Drosophila melanogaster: one gene and its partner. The protein of the gene in region 1 purifies or fractionates together with the protein of each later gene. This does not show direct contact. Each region holds a gene or a part of one and is shown on either strand. Other genes may lie near its edges.

Region 1 (6,969 bases):
CCCACACTGATAATTCTGGTTGGCTCTCAGGTGAAATGTGGATATATGTAAGTGGAGGTATTGTCCCTGCTTATTAAAGTTTCTTATAATACAAATCATAATTTGATAGCCGCTTAGCTTTTATCTTCGCTTTTCGGGTACGAAGATTTACTCCATTACATGGTGAATTCACCCCTACCTGTTGATCATTGGAAAAAAAATCACACGCGCATTAGTGTACCGTTCTCTGTTTTTTTGACAATACAGCCGTCCTGCTCGCACGCGGCTGGCGGCACCCGCCGTGCAAATGTCAAAAACCTTTCGTTTATTTATGAATTTGTGAAAAAGCATTAATTTCCGTCCCCAAATGTTCTGTTGCGATATGCGGCCAAGCACGTTTTGACCTTTGGCGTGTGGTTCATAGAACGCGGATATTTGGCGGCGTCTCCCCATTTCTTTTCATTCATTTCTGCATGGGTCAGCGGTGAATCTGTGAGATTCTGTGACTCAGTGCATCTTGAGATACTTTCGGGTGCGTGTATTTTACCTTTTTTCTTTGGTGATGATCATGTCGGGCGGGTCATTGTGGCTAAAGAACGGTATGATGTAGACCATGGTTTATTTGTTATTGCCACTTTTTTGGTTCCCTTTCGTAATTAGTTGTCGCGCACTAAGAATTTCATTCATTCATGCGACGAGACTGCATTAATGCAAAATTTTACGCTCGCTTTTCGCCAGCAGTTCTGTTTTTTTTTTGTTTTTACGCACTGGGCCAACAACAAAAGTTGGCTAACTTTTGATTGTGAGTTCGTGCCAAGCACCAGCAGCCACCGAAAAAACAACAACAATCGCCTTTTGTCGTCCGATGTATAATAATAAAAAAAAGTGACGTCAAGGTAAGTTGGTATCGCTTTTTGTTGCTATTAATTACAAGAAAAGAGAGACGAACGCGACGCGTAACACTTTCGTTGGCGGTTTTTCAAGACTGTTGCTTATTGGTTGGGTTTGGGGGGGAAAAATGCAATAATTTCACGTATTTCGCACAACTGCGTCACACCAACACACAGACAACGGCTGCAAACTGATTTGGCGATAAGCTCGCTTTTGTTTTTGTTGTCGCACAAACACACGGACGCAAATTAAGGCAGGCTTGCGAATTTCAAGCGCAAAGAGCGACCACCAGAAGCGATTGATTTTCGCCAACTAAATCGCGACTCGCAGCGTGAGCATAACGGTCTAGCTCCACATTATCAGTATCAGTTCGGATGGAGCTCTCTCTCCCGCTCCGCTCTCATCTGCTGTTATCATCCGGCGTTGTTGTTGTCAGACTGACCGCATTCCCCAGCGCCTGTATCGACTGGCCAACCATCTCGAGGTCTCCCCAGGCCAGGCTGCCATCTGGTCACACTTAAAACCAGTTTTCATGGTGGGGAACACATGATCAAATCTCACACACATCCACACAAATACAGATACAGGTGGTCGTGCTGTGGATGTAAGTGTGCGAATAGGAAGTTTTTGGCTGCGCCCCCCTGCAAATTGTATCGCCCAATTTTTTTTACAGTGGATACTGCCTATGAAGACATTTCCGTGTGCTTGTTATCTCTACTCCTGAAAATCGAGTGCTCTCCTTAGTAATATTATAATCAATCACAATTACAAAAAATTATTAAATACTAGTATTTCGCTATTTAAATAATGAAACCCCTTTTATCTGCTTATCTGTTAACACTGTTGTTTTGCAGTGTTTTAGTAGATGTCTGTATGTCTGTCTTCTTTGTTGTCATTATTATGCTCTTTTAATATCTACTGTGATAACTTTTTATTATTTCACAACAAGCTTTTTTGGTTTGCACGTGCTTTCTAATGATTTCTATTTACTTAGTGAGACTAGGAACTAGGAAAATAAAGCTGACGCCTCCTATTTGGGAAATAGAATCCTGTATCTATCGGATAAAGTTGAATTTTTTATTGTTACTCAGTTCAAGATTTTTGTGGCTTTTTAAATTTTTAAACGATCGTTTAACCTGCTAAATACTTTCGAGTATTCAGTTGCTTGCGAATTACATAAAAACTTGTATACAGTGAAGGTCGATTACCCCGCTTAATTAAGCACGATTCGGCGGCATATTCTTGAAATATTAATTAAAATTTCAAGCCGATTTTGTTTCTTTTACTTAAACACGACGAGTTTTTAATGGCTGAAAGTATTTATTTTTTGGGGTTTTTATGCTCGAGGTTGCTTTTTAGTTTTTTTTTTAAGATTTAATCAATTATGTGATTACTCTTTAAATAAAGTTTCTAAATGTCCAACAACTTTTCTATAATCAACTCAAACAAAAATCGTTCTAAAACTTTTAGGTTTTTGTCTTAGCCATCACGACCATAATGTCTAATAATAATAATGCTCACCTCCTTCGCAGATTGTCGGTCTGATCGAGCGACAAGTTGGGGCTGCTGCCGTGGTGTCGCCTCCGTCCGTGTAGCTGTTGTTGTTGCCGGGAGGCGGCGGTGACCAGATCATCGCGACTTTTGCTCAGACTGTCGCTGAACGGTTGCATTGTCCAGGATTGGTGTGGTTTGGGTATGTGTATTGGTGGCTCTATGATCGATCCTTACGACATTCTGGTCAATAAAGCGGTTGCTATATGGAGATACCACGAACATTAGTATTTTTTGGCTGGGGATTTCCTTTTCAGACACACACACGCGCACATTCGTTCGCAACCTCTTATCAATGAATGACGAAAATCAATAAGAAGCAAACGACGTCAAACGGCAAAGGGCAAAAGGATATGCGAGCAGGAGCGGGAGCGAGACAGCAATAGCACCCACGCAAAAAAAGCTATTTAAACACACAAACACGGGAAGAAGAAGGGTCGATTATTGCACTTGCTGCCAATTCACTTTGCATTCCGCTTAAATGTGGTTTTCTTTCACTTTCAAACTGCAGGCTGAGCTATTTTTATGATGCCTTTAAAAGGCGAATTGCACAAAAGAATAGGCGCACACACAAGCTCACATACAGGTATTCTTTTTATTTGTACACAGAAAAAAAAAGTAGATATCAAAAAATGTATTTATATATTGTATCCCATTTTTGTAAGTTAGATGCTTTTCCAATTATTTTTGAGATATAGTACAGAATCTTTTTCTGTTAAAAAAAAAATATAATTCGCCAAATAATATTACTTTATGATTATTTTTTTTCTCATTTGAATAATATCTTTTGCTTTTCAAAAGATAAACATATATTAGAAGAAAAGGCACTTGATATCATTTTTTCCTGTGTACAACTCCACTTCTTGTTGTTCTTTTTTTTTTTAATTTAACTTGGCCAAAGCTAGAACATAACAAAAACAACAAACATAAATGTTCCCACACACACACCAGAGTACATTTCTCGCTATTGCTGTCTCGTTCACACCCACCCAGTAGGGCCCTCCCCTCTTGCTCGCACCAACGACGGAAGCCTTACAGCGCAGCTTTGTGCTGTTGCTGCTTCTTCTTCTTCCTCTGCTGCTGCCTTTTGCTCGCTCGTTCGCTCTTTTGGCCAAGAAAATCAATATAAAAATTCTTGTATTTGCACATTTTTCACACACTTTGCTCACTTTTCCAGCAATTTTCCACTGCGAATCGTAGTGATTGCATTGATTCGTACTTTATTCAGCCATTGGCGAAGAACTTTTATTTGATTTCAGCTTGAAATGGAACAATTAAAGACTGGTTTTCTGCTCTTCTTGGAGTTCCGCTGCGAAACGCGTTTATTCCGACCAACCGTCCGCACCAAAGGTAGATACAAATCGACTAAAAAGCAAAAACTGGCTGCTGGCTCTGCTTTGGCTTTGGCCGAAACCGAGTTCCAATCCGCTCTCTAGCGCTCTCTCTTGCGGATTTCCTCCACCAAAACCAGTTTGGAGCGCAGGTTGTGTTCACTGCGCAAGTGTGCGGGAGAACGCGACTGCGCGGGATGGCCAACCACAAACAGACATCAACTGCCAAGGCACTGGGTCGTTGTTGTTGCTGTCGCCTCTCCGATTATCCCCGTTTTTCTTTTGCTCACCACACTCTACTTGATAGTGCCAATGAAACTGGATCTGGCTTAAAAGTTTAATAAAGCTCTCGTCAGCGACGTGCACGATCGTGTTCAGTGCCTAAAAGCGCTCATGGCAGCTGCTTCTGAGCTTTTAGCAAAATAATGCTTAAAAAGATAATGAAGTCAAAAATAAATAAATTAAATAATTCAAATCAATGAAATTAGATGTACACATTTGTGTGTCGTTGAATATCTAAAACCTCGCTTTTACCACACTCTTTTTCATTTCTATTTTTATTTTCTCTTTCGAATATTAAGTACTAAATTTAAGAATACTATTAGCAACTTTTGGAAACTTTGATCTAAAATTTTGAAAGAACATCTGAAAGTAGAAAAATTTATTATTAGACAGTTTTTTATACTAAATGTGGGTATTAATTTTATTTAAAAGTCAGCTTCTTAATAAATGAAATAAATAACTAGATATGTATGTATGTATATCTATTTAAGGAAAGTCAAAAACTTAGTGATACTCTTAAAAAGAATGTATGTATGTATTTTGATTTTGTTTTATCAATATATGTTATAAAAGCATGAGCTAAGTTACTTAAAGTATGATCTTAATACTTTTTCGCTTTATACACAAACAAACATACATACATATAAAAATTAAACTTTAAATTGTTCTTAAATGCAATTCGCTTGCGTAAACAACCTATCAGCTTATCAGTCTGTACGTCATAAGCTGGGTATGTAGTTAAACTCGGCACGTCATCAAAGAATTGCTATACAAGAGCAGAGCTGTGAAAACGGTGTCTCCGGATTTGTGTCGAATCCCATACCCCTGCTCCTCCGCTTTCGCACAACAGGTAGAGCACGAAAATGAAAATAACATAGTGCAGCAGGTAGCATAATTTCTACATAAACAAAGATGACTCATACCCACAGAGGACTGATCTCTTTGGAGAACATGTTAGTGGGTGGGGGCTTTTCTACATCGTGGAAAATACTTAGCGAATTCAGCGATCAATTGTATATTTACATAGTTAGAATTTCCATAGCATATATTCAGCGATCAATTGTATATTTACATACTTAGAATTTCCATAGCATATAATATTCATAATAAATGTCTCTACTATGAATTGGAAAAGCATTATTCTATACACGAAATATTTCGAAATTAACAACTTATTATTATGTTACGTACATATGTATAAAAATATTACCTTTATCACCCATGATAACAGCATAACGCCATAAGTATATAAGATCTTTTTGTCGCGGTGTATCCTTACCAATCACACAATCCACTTTTCCCTTCTTAGAGCCACCTCCCCCCTTCCACGTTATCAACAAATACCTTTTCTTGTATGTTCTGACCAATAAATTGTTATGCTGCCTGCGTGCGGCTCAGGCGTTTTCTTTTGGTCCATTGCGCATGAGTCATAGGGTTTCACGCATTTGAGGGACACCGAGGGCCAGTATCTCCCAGGGTTCCAGTTCCATGTCCAGGGTGCAGGTTCCATGCCCGTCAATCAGTGCCACTTGCGAGGGGGAGGGGGTATATGATCTCAACACAAGAATTGCCTTTAACAAGTCTAAGTTAAGGGTAGTTGAGGATCATTGAGATAAGGATCTTGTTGGTATTGTTGTGAGAACAATAATAGTGTATCAATGGAAGATTGGAATATCTCTTTCTTTTGTGCTTCAAAATAATGAATCATTTTGTTTAATATCTATTTGTTAGGAAAGTTATTTTTTTCACTTTGCCTTTTTTAAAAAAGGAATCCAATATGGTCAATTGGTTATAACACACTTTCTTTTTAAAGCTGCCATCATGGAAAACCTTTTAAATATGTTCCTCAATGTACGCAGTTCTGATCTAGAAATTTAATAAAGAACTGAGTTTCTTGAAATAAAAAATGTAAATATTTATTACTTCCATTCGCAGACAAGCGAGCATTAAAATAATATTTCACAAAGGTTTTGTGGTTTTTTTTATTGCCCAACTTAAATACATGTCCTAGGAGCTATTCTTACAAATGTGATCTTGCACAGAAGCCAGATCTCTAATCGACATTTATCGGATTCAGCAATATCTATTACTTAACATCTTGTATAAACTAAGTTGTAAATGCTTAATTCATTAATTAAATGTAATTATATTAGACGACAGAAAATGCTACGTGCTGTTTATTAGAGTTGCCTTATCAGTGCTGTCAAAAATACCGGAGCGAGTGCTGTTCAATAAATGTTTCTTGGCACATTTGGTTTTGATTTAATTGTTGAAAAGCTAAATGATTATTAAGTACGAATCGAATTGTTTAGAAACTGCCACCATAGGATAGGAAAACCATATCGAAAAGGCTCTGTATTCCAGATATGCAATGCAAATGATTGTAATTAAGACCATTTCATTCATTGTCAGTTATGGAATAGCAAATGTTATCAAAATCCAGTAAAATGCGCAATGGAAAATGCCAGAAAGTATTATGAGGTTGACAATGAGTTGCGGTGAAATCAATTTGAGGTTTAATTTTAAAACTGCTGTTGATATTACCAGGAGGGGCTTTTCGAAGTCGGGAGTCGGGTTCAGTAGAGCTTTAGGTATACCGTAGATATTAGGGAAGCAACGAATACGCACTTCGCTGTTAGAAGTAATGGCGGAGTACATATCGAAAACGAATCTATAAATAGTAGTCACAAAATTGAGATTATTAAATCGGGCGTATATCGTATCCGTAGCACATAGTTGTAGTATACAACATTAGGTCTGTCTAACAATTTTCCTTTAAATCTATTATTTAAAGCAACTTAGAGTATACAAAATATCAATATATTCAACTGTCACAGAAATGTTTTTGTTTAACGCACTTCACGGCGACTTAATAATTAATACTGCATCTGATTCCCCTGATGACAGTGCGCTTCGAAAACAGCTTGCATTAATT
Region 2 (6,890 bases), on another chromosome or scaffold:
CAACAAGCACAACAGTTGGTGAGCATAAGGTTTACAATTCGGTTTCGTTAACCTACGTATACATTCTATAACATTTCAACTCCTTTGGCTACTCTACTCTAGGCTAAGTAATTCGTCTGGACACTGGACATTGGTTTATTGCTTAGCCTAAATAATTTCTAAATGGGTTAGCTACTGTGACCAGTGGTGGGCAATGCATGCTCTAAGTCTATTCACTAACTGGCTAATTGTAAATCGTACGAATTCGGTCTAAAGTAATTGTCTATATCAACAAGGTCGGCCTGCGGGTTTTTGGCCGAGTTTCACTTTGGTGCCTCGAATACTGAAGTCTCGGATAAACACCACCAAGGGTTATTCATTGCTTTAAATACGTAATTCAAGTAATACGACTACAGTTCATCTGAGCGGTTGCTAGTTAATAAAATATATGTTTTCATTGCTTCTCAAAGTTTTTGTCAGCTATTCAGCTTATTTACATTTCTATCTACAACTAATCTTCTCTGAAGACATTATACTCTCCTATTTGATTTTGCTTAGAAATTAAGATTTAATTCGCTACTCCTACTTAGATACATCAATTCCAAGTGTTTGTTTTGAGTGTCAATACCTGCGTACGTTAAGTATTGCAATTTCGTTTGATTGATTCACATCGCGCCTAGTATCAAATGGGGTATACGTATATGCAAGTAAATGTATATACAAATTGGTTGACGGGTCATTTAACTACTTAGCTCGGGCAGGTTCGTCGATAATTGTTATTATTTAGGTGTATATGTACGACTAAAGCTAAATGGGCTGGATTTCGCATACATGGAACGCTTTTGGCAGTGGCTGTAGTGCACACAGGCATGTATAAATAATACTATAACTCAGGCTCACACACGGGGCAGACGAACACTGGTCAGCCACACGCACAGCCACCAGATATGACAAACTAACACGCTATACAGGTATTTGCTATGCATTAGTGATAGGATATTGGTCGAACGCCCACACACACCCCATTTACATATTTATACAGGCAAATATCGGTGAAAGCTCTCTAAGGGAATATATAACTAAATGTACGTGATGTCTAAGCACTAAGAATATGAGCATAAATGAGCCACATTATGTAGAGTATACAACATTTATATAGCACTCTTGTAAAAAAAAAAAAACGGACTTCAGCCTTTTTGCTGTTGATATGAATTTGTAAATTCGAAAGGTTTCAAATAAGTATTAGAAATACACATATAGATTATCAGTGCCTATTATTATCCATCCAATAGAGCTTTCACTGTACTTGAGGTGGGTGTGCGAGGAGTTCATTCTTGGCATTAGTAATGGCAATGGTTTGGTTTTCGTTTTGGTATTGTTTTTCGTTTTGGAACTACTTCGGAAAGGAATTGTTTTGTAAGATTCTAGTTTTGGACAAAGTGGGGCATATACAGCTCTAGAAGCACTTTGGGTCGGGACTGTAGGCCATCGAGGAGCCCATATAAAGTACTCGTGACGCTCAAGGTACAAAATATACGTATTTCGGTTCAAAAGAGACGCGAAGACGGAGGAGACCACTACGCCATGGGTCAACAGTTTACGATTAGTTATAAACAGAGTAGACGACTAAGACAACCTCTTGTGATCTTCTCGATTTGCTTTTCCAGACGATGTTCAGCCTCTATCGCCTCCTCGGTGGGCTTCGGAGCTCCGGGGAAGGCAATGATGATGATGCTCATGTTGTCGCGGCTACCCTGTAGTCAAGAAATGAACAGCATGTGAAAACTTTGACGATATGCATGGTAATCAAGACTCACCTTGTGCAGGCAGGTGTCCACGACCTGGTTGGCGATGCTCACTAGGTTACTGGTCACCCGCATTCGCGAGTGGATGAAGCTGCACACGTCCTCGTTGGACATCACATCCCAGATTCCATCGCAAGCGAGCACCAGGAACTCATCGCTATCCTGGCGGCTCTGACAGAATATCTCCGGTTCCGGCGATACCAACTGCTCGCACTGTCCCTTCTCCTTGACGTTCTTAAAGTCGTAATCCCCAAGGGCTCTCGACACTGCCAGGGTACCATTTACGCGCTTTATCATAACACTGCCACCCGCATTATAGATGCGCTCTTTCTCCTCCGGCAGAATGGGTTTGTGATCCTGCGTGGCGAACACCGGAACACCCTGGCGGCACAAGACGGCCCTCGAATCACCACAATTGGCGATGTACACTTGCGTGAGGCCGACAAAGGCGCACACGGCGGTAGTTCCGCCGCATTTCTCCGACTCCCGGGTGAATTCCGGCAGTTCCCGCATAACCTCGTCGATGCGCAGGAAGCCGGTGCGAATGCCCTTCACGTGGTCGCCTCCAATGAATTCCTCGGTGCTAATAATGCTCTCCAGAAGGTGCTTGGCACAGTGCTCCGACACCTTGCATCCGGCATGCCCGTCGAACACGGCAAAGAAGCTCCAGTCCGGCAGGGCATCCCCCAGCCCGGCACGAGCGTAGTAGGCGTCCTCCATCTCCGACCGCCATCCCTGCATCGAGCTGACCCCGAAGAGCAGCTTGTTGCCCTCACCCTCGTCATTGTGCTTGGCGGTTTTCGGCTTATCCAGGAATCCGCCCATGTTCACTGAACATGCTGTGTGCTGTGTGCCGGGCGGGTGCAATTTCTCCTCCTCTTACGGCTAGCCGGTGCCAAGGAATCTACGGATCGAGGACACAAGGGTATGCAACCATTAAACGACTGCCAATCAATATCAACCAGCAAGACCTTGAACTTGAACTTTCACCAGCGGATGACTAAGCAAAGGTCATGCCAAAATAGATAGTTTATAGTTTTCCACACACAAATAATAAACTGAATACTGTGTCTGAATATTCCTGTAAATGGTATCTGGATTTTTCTGACACAAACGGATGTGCAAGTCTCGGCTTTTGTAAAACCATTTCATTTCATAGAAATTTCTACGGAAGTTAAGTTGACTCATGGCAGTTTGATTTCAGCTGAACATGAAATAATTATTTGCTATACTCTTTCTAATTCTCGACCTGTATGAGTCGTAAACGCATCTTGACCGTCAGTAGGATGCTGGTAGAAAATCCAAAATAAGTATTATCTATTGATTTGAATACTTTTACTATAACTTGTGTTATTTTAACCTGTTTTAACCTGAACTGTTGAGACTGAAGGACTCCAAATATAAGGTACTAACTACATATATATAAACCGGCAAAAACATGTGAATTCCGAACTGGAATCAGCTGGCGCTTCATAATTAATATACATATACATGCTCATACATATGTACAGGGTACATTTGCGGGGCTTCCCCCTGTTGAGTTTTGCACTTGTGCCACAGAACAATAACTGTAAGCCGACTGCAAGGACATGGAAAAAAGCGCAAACACAAATGGGGGCGGGGCGGAAGACCTCGCGGCAGCTGCCCGCCCACGCTTTTCACCGCTATTTCCTCTGTGTCCCGCGCTTTTTTGCATTTCCTTTTGACACATCGATTTATCAAGGACGCGGCTTCGTCCTTCCGCTTGGCCGACTAAATTTAGCACTCGAAAGTGGGCGTTAAATACATTTTGTGGAAAATGTGGGGAAAATTGCGCGCAACAGCATCCATATCCCATTCACAAAAAAAAAATTTGTTTAGTGGCCAGCAAGTTGGCAGCACCGATTTCAGCAGGGGCGGGGGGTGGTGGAAATCCGGCATGGCCACCAAAAAATGGGAGGTAATGAAAACGCACTCGCGATTTATGATCTTCGGTGCTGGGAAAACCTTCGCCTCTCGTTATTTTCACCTCGCAAATTTTAAGTTTGATGATCTGCTTCTTCTTCCTCCGCTTGCTGCTCTTCTCTCCGCGTGCGAGTGGTTGTGTGTGTGCGAGTGCGTCGGTGAGCTGCGTGCGTGTGCGTGTCTGCCGTAAGTAAAAGTTTAAGAAGAAAAAACGATCGTTTTCCACTTGATTTTCATCGCCTACTAGCGCTTTTAAGATCAACGAACGAGTCGCGCACTTAATAACACTTCTGCGCGATCCCGAAATGCACTTTCGAGGCGGAAATGGAGTTTTTTCTAATATTTTGATTAACAAAGTGACTAGTGATGTAAAAAAGCATCGGGCATCGATGTACTGAGGGCGATACTTATCGATGATATTCGAAGAGCTATTGGCTATCGATAGCAACCGAAGGCACTCTTCTAGCGAATACACGCAACCCACCTAAGCAAGTACACCATCCTATTGGCGATGTTAAGTGCGATGCAGTTAAGAGACACCATCACTCTATGTAGAAACAGATGTTAACAGATGTGTTAAACGAGGTCCTGGCAGTGCACTCAAAAAAATTAGTTGTTCAAATCCACTGCATTTAGTTCTTGTGGCTTCCGCCAGTTTAAGTATGCGTTAATTTATGAGTGTCCATACTCCAAAAGTGCTTCCTGCACGAATTCTTAGAATTGTGTTATCTTTTATAATCTGCAAGTGATTAATACAAATTGCAATACAAAATTTGTGAATACCCTCTTAACTGATAGTAAATGTAATTATTTTAGAGGTGACGTAAATAAAAATTGCGTAGGCATCTATATTTACCATAAACAGAATTCCTGATATGTTTTATATAAAATTGGTGTATAAGCCATGCATTATTAGTATACACGAGCTAAATAATAAAACTATTAATTATTCAAAGAAAAATATCAGCGAAATCTAGTGTCTCTTATTTACTACCTTTCTCTAAACATATATTGTATAACAAGAACACGAAATTATTTTCCATGGTGTTAAATTTCTAAAGTAGATATACATATGTAGCTCTTTGCCTATAATGGGTAAAATATATTTAGTTTATTTGATGGAATGAATATTGTTGAATTGATATTGGGGGTTTCATTGACACCTTTTATTTGAAGAGCTTCCACAAGGCGTCACGATAACGGGGTCTACATCAGGAACTACCCCAGATAGTTTGTGGATCATAAATATTAGTAATCTAGTTGCTGGAATTACTACAGTATAAAAGCCAAGTCTGGGTCTTTGGGCCCCACACTCCAGTTGTCCAGTTCTCCAAGTGTCGAAAGTGAATATGTCGTTCAAGGCCGTCCCCCTTTTGTTGGCTATCGGCGCCGTCTTCGTGGCTGCCGTGCCCACTCCCGTCGAGACCGAGAGGGAGTCCTCGCTGGTGGAGCTCCTGCTCAGTTCTCCGGCCATGCGATCGGATCTCTTCAACGTCGAATGCGTGGACTACTACAGCCCGCTCCTTAAGGGTCACGTGGACAAGTACAACGAGGACTTCACCGCGTGCAAGGACAATTACGACGGGGCCTTCTCCCTGATCGACTCAAGCTACCGCAGTTCCCGCGACGAGCTGTCCGTATCCGTGAGGGACACCTGCCTTTCCCTCCTGACCTGCAATGGCAGGACCTCGAACTCCGATGCCTTCGAGTGCTTGGCCTCTGGGGTGAGTGATTCGTACAATGGTGGCTTAATCTATGATCTTCCACGCATACTCTAATGAGTATTTTAAAGTGTTTTAAGCCGTATTTTGTATAACTTTTTGCGCTTAATAGCATTAATAATATCACCACCCAATCGCAGGGTCCTTCGGCATCCAAGGAACTGGAGAAAGCTTCCTACAACGCATCCGACAACCAAACCAGCCTGCTCGCCGAGGTGTCCGTAATCTCGGAAACGCTATCCAGATGCCAAATCGAAGCCTACCGGACCTACAACACCAACCACGGCGAGTGCTACGCCGACATGGTAGCCTGCCTGGGTGATCCCAACTGGGAGTTTCCCAGCACGAACTACGTGCTCTAGGACTCGAGTCAAGATTCAGATCACCTCGAGCACCCTGTATTCGTGAACTTTTATCGCTGTAAATAAAAGACTTTGAGTGAATATTAATCAAGTTTAAACGATTAAATCCTATACCTCTGAAACTAGCTAAAGGATTGGACGACTTATTCATTATCAGCTCAATATGAAGGTGTTTTTCAAAAGTGTATCAAGAAAGCTTAAAGGTTTTTGGCAGTAAAACATGAGCTTATCTACTCTCGTTTAACATTGCCATCCATCAAACCTTTAGAGCCATCATTATCAGTAATTGAAAATATATAACATTAATGTGTAATTAAAAAGATAATGATAAATGGGAGTATAAATACGTCTGGGTGTCACATCCACCGTCAACTAACCTGGCCAAGATGTTCGCAAAGCAAGCCAAGATCTTGGTCTTCTGCCTTTCCCTGGGCCTCTCGCTGGCTGTGAAGCTGCAAATTCCCTTTAGACCAGACGCCCACATCCAGGAGCTGCAGCTGCAGAGCAGGGAGCTGGCCGAAGTCCACTCAGATCACTCCACGCAGTGCTTCTCGATCTACAAGCCCAAATTGGCCAAAATTGCGGATCAGTTCGAAACTAACTTTACGGCTTGCATCTCGGCCTATGACAATTGCACATCCCATATCAGCGAGAAGTATGCCGAGGATCGCCAGATCCTTCTCAGGTCCGCCAACATCGGCTGCTCGTATCCCAACTCCAATTGCCAGGTCTGGACTCTTGAGCAGCAGCCGCTGGACACCGTGGTCTCCCGCCTCGAATGCGCCTCCACCAACTCGGCCGAGAGCTCCAAGACCTTCTATGCCATTTCGGCCAATGCCACGCAGATTGCAGTTCAGATCCAGGAGCAATATACGATCCTAGAGAGCCGGAAGAGTGTTTGCATCAATGACGCAAATCGCTCCTATGTGGAAGACACCTCCGATACCTACGAGCTTTTGAACAACTGCCTCAAGAACGGACCAACCACCACAACTTGTAATCCATTGACTTACCCTACAACAACCACAGCAACAACAACAACAACAACAATAACAACCGCAGCACCTTTACTTCGTTAA

What was found.
Region 2: the proteins of wnd (region 1) and alph purify together in Drosophila melanogaster (affinity purification with western blotting, with the first as the bait; one study listed by BioGRID). This does not show direct contact.

What each region holds. Positions count from the first base shown.
Region 1 is NT_037436.4:19,631,841-19,638,809, forward strand, and holds the start of wnd (wallenda), read right to left. Parts: upstream 3,944-6,969; 5' UTR 3,591-3,943; exon of another isoform or gene 3,582-3,590; intron 2,624-3,581; 5' UTR 2,541-2,623; coding exon 2,392-2,540; intron 1,257-2,391; exon of another isoform or gene 595-1,256; coding exon of another isoform or gene 527-594; intron 1-526.
Region 2 is NT_033777.3:29,589,070-29,595,959, reverse strand, and holds the start of alph (alphabet), read right to left. Parts: upstream 4,130-6,890; 5' UTR 3,793-4,129; intron 2,867-3,792; exon of another isoform or gene 2,689-2,866; 5' UTR 2,610-2,688; coding exon 1,797-2,609; intron 1,734-1,796; coding exon 1,616-1,733; intron 1-1,615. Other genes in the region: CG31041 (uncharacterized protein), read left to right, coding at 5,078-5,452, 5,590-5,811; CG11470 (uncharacterized protein), read left to right, coding at 6,198-6,890.